Linked DNA regions of Caenorhabditis elegans. The protein of the gene in region 2 interacts with the protein of the main gene of each other region in a pairwise test. Each region holds a gene or a part of one and is shown on either strand. Other genes may lie near its edges.

Evidence for each region. The genes of interacting proteins can lie anywhere in the genome.
Region 1: the proteins of ets-4 (region 2) and cebp-1 interact in a two-hybrid assay, tested with the Caenorhabditis elegans proteins (one study listed by BioGRID).

What each region holds. Positions count from the first base shown.
Region 1 is NC_003284.9:1,452,169-1,455,885, forward strand, and holds cebp-1 (CCAAT/enhancer-binding protein homolog 1), read right to left. Parts: upstream 1,701-3,717; 5' UTR 1,691-1,700; coding exon 1,538-1,690; intron 1,489-1,537; coding exon 743-1,488; intron 694-742; coding exon 633-693; 3' UTR 527-632; downstream 1-526. UniProt on the Caenorhabditis elegans protein: Transcription factor. Binds to promoter regions of target genes, perhaps at the motif 5'-[AGCT]TT[AGT][TC]GAAA[ACT]-3'.
Region 2 is NC_003284.9:6,517,173-6,523,199, forward strand, and holds ets-4 (Transcription factor ets-4), read left to right. Parts: upstream 1-1,763; 5' UTR 1,764-1,859; coding exon 1,860-1,875; intron 1,876-1,934; coding exon 1,935-2,006; intron 2,007-2,059; coding exon 2,060-2,208; intron 2,209-2,622; coding exon 2,623-2,706; intron 2,707-2,757; coding exon 2,758-2,797; intron 2,798-2,910; exon of another isoform or gene 2,911-3,119; intron 3,120-3,274; coding exon 3,275-3,421; intron 3,422-3,467; coding exon 3,468-3,659; intron 3,660-3,790; coding exon 3,791-3,876; intron 3,877-3,983; coding exon 3,984-4,059; intron 4,060-4,111; coding exon 4,112-4,213; intron 4,214-4,260; coding exon 4,261-4,620; intron 4,621-4,674; coding exon 4,675-4,742; 3' UTR 4,743-5,484; downstream 5,485-6,027. Other genes in the region: Homeobox protein ceh-60, read right to left, coding at 5,611-5,691, 5,744-5,814. UniProt on the Caenorhabditis elegans protein: Transcription factor which binds to 5'-GGAA/T-3' DNA consensus sequences. Both positively and negatively regulates the expression of target genes. Plays a role in the regulation of adult lifespan, which may in part be through modulation of daf-16 activity.

The sequences.
Region 1 (3,717 bases), 5.1 Mb from region 2:
TTGACTATAGAATTTGGAATCCTAAATGTAAATTTTTTGAGCACTGATGAATTTATTTCTATTTAGATAAAATCAGCGATCAAAAAGAAAAAAACAATAGAAAAAAGGCAAAAATAATAAAGCGAATTTGAAATTATCAAGGCAAAATTAGTTAACACATGTTCAGGGGGGATAGGTTTTCAGACAAAAAATGCACTAGTTGACTGGAAGGGGAAACATTACCAGTGGTGTAGGGATTGGAAGAGGATCTGGTTTTTTGCTACGTGGTGTTGAAAGGAAGTTAAGGAAAATTTTCCAGCCAATTTCGAGTTATTGGACTTTGAAGCGCAAGAGGCTCTGCGAGCAACTCTCAAAATATAGGAAATTTCAAGTTTCACAACTAAGTAACAAAATAACTTGCCAGCAAGTAAACGGGGGGAACAGATGAAAGCTCAGCTTTGGGGGGAAGGGAGAGAGATGGAATAGAATTATGTACGGTTTGATGCTTGTTTTACACTGGGAGACTAGATTGGGATCAATGAAGGGGGGGGGGGGGGGGGGGTCACTGGAATGATGGGGGGAGAATGCCGTGGAATAAATATGAGGATCCTAGGTGTCTAAATTATTGATTGGTTAATTGATGAAGCTGCAGGTTACTTGTTGAAGTTCTCGAGGATGTGGCGTTGGGGCATGCGTTGCTCTTTCATCGGGCCTCTGAAATTACAAATCGTTGAGAAACACTAAGGGTTTTATTCTGACTCACTTATTCCTGAGAAGCTGCTCCAAGGTGTCCTGGTCCCGACGTCTGGCGTCACGCTCGGACTGGAGGAGCCCTTCAAGCTCGGCGATGCGCCTCTTCATCTTGTCGTGCTCGGCTTCCTTCTTGTCCTGGAGCTCCTTTGCCTTTTTACGCGATTTTCTGACGGCATCATTGTTCCGGGCTCTTTTCAATTTGTAGGTCGGCTCAGCCTTCTCCTCGTCTGCCTTGAGTTTGTACTTTCTTGCTCTGGTCTGTGGCTTGAAGTTTTCCAGTCCGGCGGATTTAGTTTTCTTGCTCTTTGGCTCAAAGTAGGAGTCGTCAACGCTTCCGTCGTTATCCGTCATATCGCTGGACTCCTCCGAGTATTCCTTCTGGTAATCGTCATAAGGAACTGGGCGTTTGACAGCTCGGCGGGTCTTGGTAGCTCCGAAATCCGGTGTCTCAGCTTTCACTTCACAATTCATCTTGTACCCATCCTGATCATAATCCCCAGGCACTCGATAGCCAGTGCCGTACGCCACGTGGCGCTCATATCCGTTCAGCTCCGGTTGTTCGTAAGGATGCTCTCCGTCGTAAAGGATGTTGCACTTTTGGAGCTCGGCATCATCAAAATCCACATTGTCGGTAGGAACGTCAAGATCGTGGAGCACTTGCAGGTAGTCGCCAAGGTCCAGCTCAGTTTCCATAAAGTCCACTGGATGGCGTTCGCGGTCACGTTGCTGGAGGGATGCGGCAATGGTAAGAGAGTCCTGAAAATATCGATGACTAAGAGTGAGCAAGAGCACTTTATCCACTTACTTGTCTTGCGAAGGATCCGGCGGAGGAGGTGGAAGCTCCGTTGTTCGGCATGTCAGTGAACCCACGTACCTCGGATTGCTGGAGTCTTACCAGGTGTGGATGCTTGAGGGCCTGGTCGCCCTTTTGGTGGCTGTAGTTCAGCTTGCTATACATTTTCTTTATTCTGAAAAAAATACACTAAACTTAAAGAGAAGTTAAAGAGAAATAAGAGCAAACAGTTTGCGAAAAGGTTTCGAATGTTCTCGGTGAGAGGCGATGAGAAATAAAAAGAGAAACAGAGAAAGCAAGGAGGAAAAATGAGAAAAGTGAAATGATGACGTCATTGCCGCCGAATTTAGCAACCAGCTGCATAAGGGTGAGCAAGCGCTATGGGACACACCCAGAAGGTTATCAGTAGTTATCAAATGGGAGTGTGAATAAAATAAACTAAAAAGGTTACATTTCTTACAGATTTTAGAAACGATAACTCAAACTTTTAGACTTGCTCCAACACTAGAAAATGGATAAAAAATAGATATTTAAATTGTCTATAAAGTTGAAAAATTGTCAGAAAGGAAATCGACATCACAAATGACTATGTAACTGCTAATTTAAGAAGAAGGATTATCAACATAGAAATCGGCTTCTAACACTACAAAATACTCAAACCAGCTCGAGGAGCCCTCCACCAGACCCAACCGTCTCCGGATTGCGAAATGACAAACCCCGACACTTTTTTCCACGTCGACTTATAGCCATGGGCGGGGCGAGTTGTGTACAATTAGACTCCAAGGAGATGGATGAATACCGACGCTAGGAGGCAGGGCGCAAAGTATTGCGAAATCGGCGGCAATGTTGTGTTGTGAGAAGAGAGGAGGGGACAGGAGACGCAGAGCTTGCGATGAGTCACAACGCCGCCTCTGCGTCTCTTCCCGCTGCACACTATGCGGGGCGAGAGGAATGGGAGAAGCGCGAGTGGTTTTGTTGTTTGCTGGGAAAGACGCAGAGAAACCGAGGGAACTGGACTGTGAGTCATACATGTCATGCATACTGCAAAGTCATGAAAAACTGTCGTGGGGGAAAATGGAGATTGTAGGAGAGAGAGAGAAAAAAGAACAAACTAAATAGAATTGTTCCAAATTTGAACATGGTGCATCGGCTACACACTTCGACTGGTAGCCATAAAATAATCATTTTTAGTTAAAAAACTATAAAACAAATACTATGTTAGTTGGCAAATTGTTATAAATTCATTCAACATCTGTTCAGTTAGAAGGTAACGGCTCAACAAAAACTATTGCTCATCGTGCATCGATTGGGATCACAGTTCCCATTCTAGATCCTTGCTGGTAAATATTCCTATTTTTTTGAAAAACTATAAATTTTCAACTTCAAACCGCTAGAAAACGTAATAATAAGAATTTTTTCAATTGAAAATTTTCTGAAAATCTCAAAAACAACCAAGTTATAAGCTGTTCAAGTTAGAGTGCAATACTAAAGTGATTTTAATACATGGTGCATCGACAAGAATCATATGAACTTGACAGTCCATGTGTTGGCACGATTTTAGTTCTAAACTTATTTTTGACTACAAAATTCGAAAAATGTGATAAAAAAGTATTTTGTCAATTGTTGACAATTTATTACCGAAATCAAAAACAACCAAAATATTGTTTTCAAGGTATAAATTTATTCTTTACTACAAAATTATAGAAAATGTGACAAAAACAAATACAAGTTTCTCAAGTTAGAGAGCTATACTGAAAGAGTAATAACTAAACATGGTGCATCGATAAAAATCATATGACTTTGATAGTCTATATCAGGGCTGGGCGGCAATTGCCGTTCGGTAAATTGATTTGTCGACAAATTCGGCAAATCGGCAAATCGGCAAACCGGCTATTAGCCGATTTGCCGGAAATTTCCAATTCCGGCGATATGCCGGTTTGCCGATTTGCCGGAAATTTTAATTTACGGCAAGTTGCCGACTTGCCGATTTGCCGGATACCAGATTTGCCTGAAATGTTTAAAGGGGTTTTTTATAAGACGGAAGCACTTAACACTGTCTATTTTCGAATTTTTCTCGTTTTTTCTACATATTTTTTATAGAATATGCGTACTTCTCAAAATAGATATAGGAAAATTCATATGATGCGTTTAATTTTGCCATTTGAAATTGAAATTCCAAAAAATAAGTGCAA
Region 2 (6,027 bases):
GAGGAGCTGAGCCAGTTGTTTTGTTTGTTGCTCGCTCGGCTTGGCAGACAGAGAGCCTTCACTGGTGCCGTACGGTAGCCGGTCACTTGGATGTTTGCAAAACGACTTCAGGCGCTCTGGACCTCTGCGAATTGCCGCTGCCTCATTTTTGACGAAAAGCACAAAACACCAAGTCAAATAATTCTCGCGACAGCAGGGTATTTTTGTCATTGTGGAGATACAACGCATGTGAAAAAAAAACAATAATTCTCACAATGATTTTAAGTTTTCATTTCCCTTTTGTTTCTTGATAGGCAGCTCACAAAAAATTGCTGAGTGCGCTTTTTTATCAGCAGTTTAGTTCGCTGCTTCAAATTTCACTTTTTTTAAATGTTTTCTTTTTTCCAGCGATAAACACGGGTTACATGATTTAGTGATTTATGATGCAAATCGTAATCAATCACGAGAATTTTAGACTTATCAATGGCTTAAACTGTGGCACTGAAATGCAAAAGTTGAGCATATCAGAATATTATCAAATACGTAATTTTTTTGCAAGTTTATAAGGCGACAAACAAAATCAGACAGTGCGTCATAATTTCTTTGCAACATCAGCCAGCTAAATGTGTTTTGACTCCAGGGAACGTTAATGGACAATGAAATCAAAAAAAAAATAGGAGCAAAAATCGACCCACGCATCATCACAATTCCAGAGAGAATTGTGTGCACTTTCATACCGATTGATTCTTAGGATTTTCATTCGTCAAGATAGCTTGTTAGTTATTAAAACTTATTACCTTAGAGTCCACTACTTAGTATAGACTTGAAACACATTTCAAAACATTTCAACCGTGTCATTATTTTTCAATTTATAGATTCACCCATGTTTCTGGTCCGCCACGTTGTAGCTTGTTTATTCAATGACGTGCATTCCCAATTTCTAGCAATAAACCTGTTTCCAATTTTCATGACATCCTAACTCTTTATAATGAAAAAAATTGTGCACAATGCACATTCTTTTTTCTTCTTTACCTGTACTCCTTATGTAGTATGAATAAGAAAAGGTTTGTTCATTTGCATTGAATTATGGGGGGATGGCGCGGCGTAGTTTGCACCATTGAAAGAGGTCCCATCGTGTCTGACACGACCAACCTGACTCATCAATTTTAGAACCCTTCCCCCCCCCCCCCCCCACCCCCACACTTTTGTTCAAGCTCAGTACATTTTATTTATTATTTTATTATATTCGATCGGCTCAGTGATTGATCTTTTTTTAGTTTTTTAGTCGATGTCTTGCGAATATGTATTTGATATCGTCTTTTCAACCACAAATTTTTTCAAACTCTTCTCACGTTTTATTTAATGACGTTTCAGTATTTTGTCAGCAATTAGATCAGTTTTCAATTCAATATTGAATTGGTGTGCAACATGATTCACTGATAAAAATGGGCTTTTGCCCCCTAATTGACGCAATCAATGCTAACTCTCCAACAAACATATTTCGTGTAATAGATCATCGAGTTTTCAATTCAGTTTTCCATTGGCGCCATCAATTTCATTTTGTTACTTATCAGCTTATTTCTGGAAAAGCTTGGTTTCATGTGACACTGAGCGAGGCAATGATTAGGAGTGTCACACTAGTCAACCTCACGCGCGCCAGAAATCGCTTGACGCTCTGCTGATAACTTTTCCGAGTCGAAGCAAAAAAAGGGGTTGGGAATAGCGAAAATTAGCGATAAAATAAAATTTGACTGATTAACAGTGCCACTTTATTCGTTACTACTCTAGTGCACAAACAGGTCGACACTACTCTTCGGTCTCGACTTAACCTACCATCTTCAGTACTAACTTTTATTACTATCTCACTTGTACTGTTCAATATGACTGCTGCTTATTGTACGTATACCCTCTCTCATCATAGTGTTTATTTGAAAGATAAATCTTCTAATTTCCAGGCGAGACCCAATTTCATGGTTTGAACCAATTCGCGTTCCCGTTCAACAACTTGGAATACAAGTACGGAAGTTGTAAGTCTGACGGTTGGAATTATAATATTTCCAATAGTATTTTGTCACTCTAGATTCTTCATCAATGAACGGTACTGGCTCAGTCGGTCACAGATGGAATTCTCTGAGCCCGGAGCCACATTCCGGAACGGAGTCAACCGCAAGCACTCCTTTTGTTAAAAGCGAGTTCCCATTTGATGATGATCTATTCGGAATCGACCAGGTAAGTTTTTGTCTTCTTCTTTTTTGAGACCATGTGGGTGTGGTTGCGTTAATTATTTTATGCCTGCTCTGAAAACTGGTTATGATTACCAAAATTGAAGTTTGAAATAAGAACGTTTTTGGGAAAATGAGAGTAACAAACACACCTTACTCATTTTTATCAATCAGTTGAATCATCAATGTTTTTTTAAACGCAAGTTAGCTTCAATAATTTTTTGCTATTTTGAAATTTAGTTTACTTTATTTGTTCTCATATTCATTTTCTTTCACAGTAAGACACGTGCGTGCTATTTACGTCATAGATGCGATAATTGATAAGACCCGATTGATGGAGAAAATAGAGAAATAATTTTTTGAGTGACTTTTTTTGCATTTTAATCACGTTGGAAACAATCACAATGTACAACTATTTTAGGTAAACAACGTCAAACCACATCCGATGGATATGCCATGCAATCTTCCAATCCAACCCATCGAGTATAACCGTCGATTCTCAAAGGTAGTTTTACTGATTATCACACTGACCCCTCTGTATTATTATAATTTGCAGGACGCCGATCACAGCACGTTTGTGAAGAATGAGATTGAAGGTTGGTACTTTAGATGGATTAGATACATACAAACACCATTAACGACTGTTTTGAATGGTGTCAATCATAATCTCGGGTTCTTTTAACGCCTTCTTCTCCCTTTCGGACTTTCACTATCCCTTCATCGAAAAACATCTCATTTCGTTTGGCGGGAGATACTATTGAGAAAACACGTTTTCCTTCGATTAGGGTAGTTAGGCACAGGTCAGCTTTTTCTCTGGCTGACGGCACGCCTGGATTGACCAGTGAAAGTTTTCCAAGCGGCTACCGAATTAGTTGTGGGTCGGGGTCATGTTTTTTTAAGCTGCTTTGGCTAACCACAATAGAAAACAAAGTTGTGACCCATTACAAAGTAAAAAAGAAAAGGGCTTAGATATTAGGAAGATATGGAAATGTGTCAGGGTTAGAAAAGTGCGGGTGATACATGGATATGCATCAATGCTTGTTGTTTGAATGTTTACCACGAAAAAGTTCCAGAAAACATTCTCAATTTCAATGTCAATCCGGAGATTGCGCAAGACAACGGTCTTGACACCCAGCAAATTGACATCTACAGGGACCTGATTCTCCGTCATCTGATTCAAGACATCAGTACAACTTGTGCCAAATTGGGACTTCCAAATGGTACATTACTTATCCACAATACCTCATTTATATTTTTGGTCTCTAGATTTCTACCTGTGGTCATCCGAGCATGGAGCACGATGGATCAACGAGATGTGCATGCAATTCAATCTTCAGCCGCCTAGAAACTGTTCAATCACTGGTATTGATTTGCTCGGCATGAGTCAAAAAGATTTCGAAATGATTTTGCCGGCGGGAGGCGACACGTTGCATGCCCAACTCCAAGTGTGGAAGACCGGTACGTCAGATTACGTGAAAGGTGATGCGATTAGCATGACTATAAATCACGCCCTTTTTCTGATTGTCATCATGACGGTTATCAGTGACATGCTCACACGAAAACGAGACACCAATCCAATTCAATTTCAGCATTTGAAAACTATCATCCACCCGTGACCGTTCAGAGCTCCGGAATGACCGCTGCCGAAAATAACATGCAGTCAAAAACTAATTGGGTATGTAAATGTTGATTATGTCATTCCTCAGAATTTTCGGCGCGCAGTCTTTTTGTACCCCTATTTGCTCAATGCGTTTTTTTCATAAAGCCTTCTCGTATTTTTAGCTAGCCAGCACCAACAATCAAACAAACAACATGGCAGCTGCTGAGAACCCGAATCATCCATTTTTCAATGGAAACGGTTGGTTTCGAACCGGAAGCGTTTGATGTGAATAAGTAAATTGTATTTATAGGAGGGTATCCAAACATGTCGATGAGCAGCTTCTTTCAACAGGGAACTGTTTTGCCATCGCCAAGCAACAGCGATACCAGCAGCAATGGGAGCAGTCAAGACAGTATGACACGGGCTTATTAGTACTGTAACTAATTCAGAGTTTTTTAGTGAATGACGATGATATTGATCTTCACATGAACAATTCGAACTGTGGTTTCTCAAACTTCTTTCACAACCAGGGTTACATGAACTCCCCTATTGACGCAATGTGCAACGGAAGCGAGGGAGATGACGATGAGCGTGCCTACACTCGTCATCAAGGAACTGTTCATCTGTGGCAGTTTATTCGTGAGCTTTTGGATCAACCAAAACAGTACAGTGCATGTGTTCGATGGGTGGATAGAGATGAGGGAACTTTTAAAATCGAGTCTTCCCTCCTGCTGGCTAGATATTGGGGACAACGAAAAAACCGTTCACAGATGAATTATGACAAGTTGTCCAGAAGTCTTCGACAGTACTATAAGAAAGGTAAAAAGAATAGGAGGAAGTGTAAAACAAAAACGTTACAAATCAATATTCCAGGAATCATCCAAAAGCCGGAAAAGAAGCAGCGTTTGGTGTACAAATTCCTGCCTCCTTATAACTTGTAGTCATCTGGCAGAAAGACAACGACGTGTTGCTATCTGTGTATGTGTCAATACTCTGTTTACATTTTTCAACTTGTCCTGTCGGTCCAGTGTGGTCCCATTTCCCGATATCTGTGATTCAAGATATACTTCCATGTACTGTTCGTTGTAGAACATATTCCTATTGTGTCCCATACTTCTTTTTAATACCCGAGTCAATCATTCAAGGTTTTATTCAACTTCTTTATTTTCTTTTTTTTTCTCATTCTTTTTCAATTGTTGGGAACAATCAAAAAGTATTACAAATGTTATTACCATTTAGAGTGTGTAGTTCAGATGTCTGAATATTGTTTCACTCGATTTATTTATTGTAATGCAATATTTACCGGTTTGAAACCGTGCAATATGTTGTTCTCTATTTATTCTCGTTCTCATGTCAGAACTCTTCCTCTCTCCCAAATACTTTACCAAATAACGGCTCATATATCCACCAGTGACAGAAAAATAAGCGTTTTACTGAACTGTTCCCGATTGTATTTATACCAATATGATTATGTTAATTATAACAATTATAATATTGTATCAAAAAAATGTTTTAATTTTACATTCCATTTATACTCCAGCCTCCTTCCCCTGTTTACTAGCCTAGTTATCCCCCAAAGAAATTGTATTACAACAATGTGTAGTCCCAGTGTTTTTTTATATCATTGTGCAATTATTTATTCAGATTGTATTATATATTAATGAACCAGATAAATATTTTTTCAAAATATAAAACTTGGCTTTTAGCAAAACTAAAGATAAACATGAAAATGAAGGAAAGCTTTGAAAAGATGAATTATGAAACACAACGAATTTCGAATTCAACATTTAATTTCTCAATCAAAGTAGATCATCCTAGATATCCCATTTGATTGAACGACTCTGTATCCGATTGTGCAAGTCCAAAGGTCTCATAATCTGTGAAGAATTGCTGAAACAGAGAACGAAGGGTCATTACGTCAATACTTTTTTTGCTGAGCTACCTGTCCATTTCCATTATCATTGAGTGACATTTGTCCTCCGGCAGTAAAATAGTGTGGCTGATGGAGAAACGCTGAAAAGAGCAAAGATAAGCGGTGACCACGGATGGCTTGTTTGCGGTTACATGGGAATCGCAATGCAAAACACAAAAATCATCAACTGAAATTGATTGATACTTGCGGAAACTATAAGACACATATGAATGTAAATTTGAAATTTTCACGTAGAAAAACCTGAAAATAATTACATTTATCAAAAAAAAATGCCAACACATCAAATATATCGA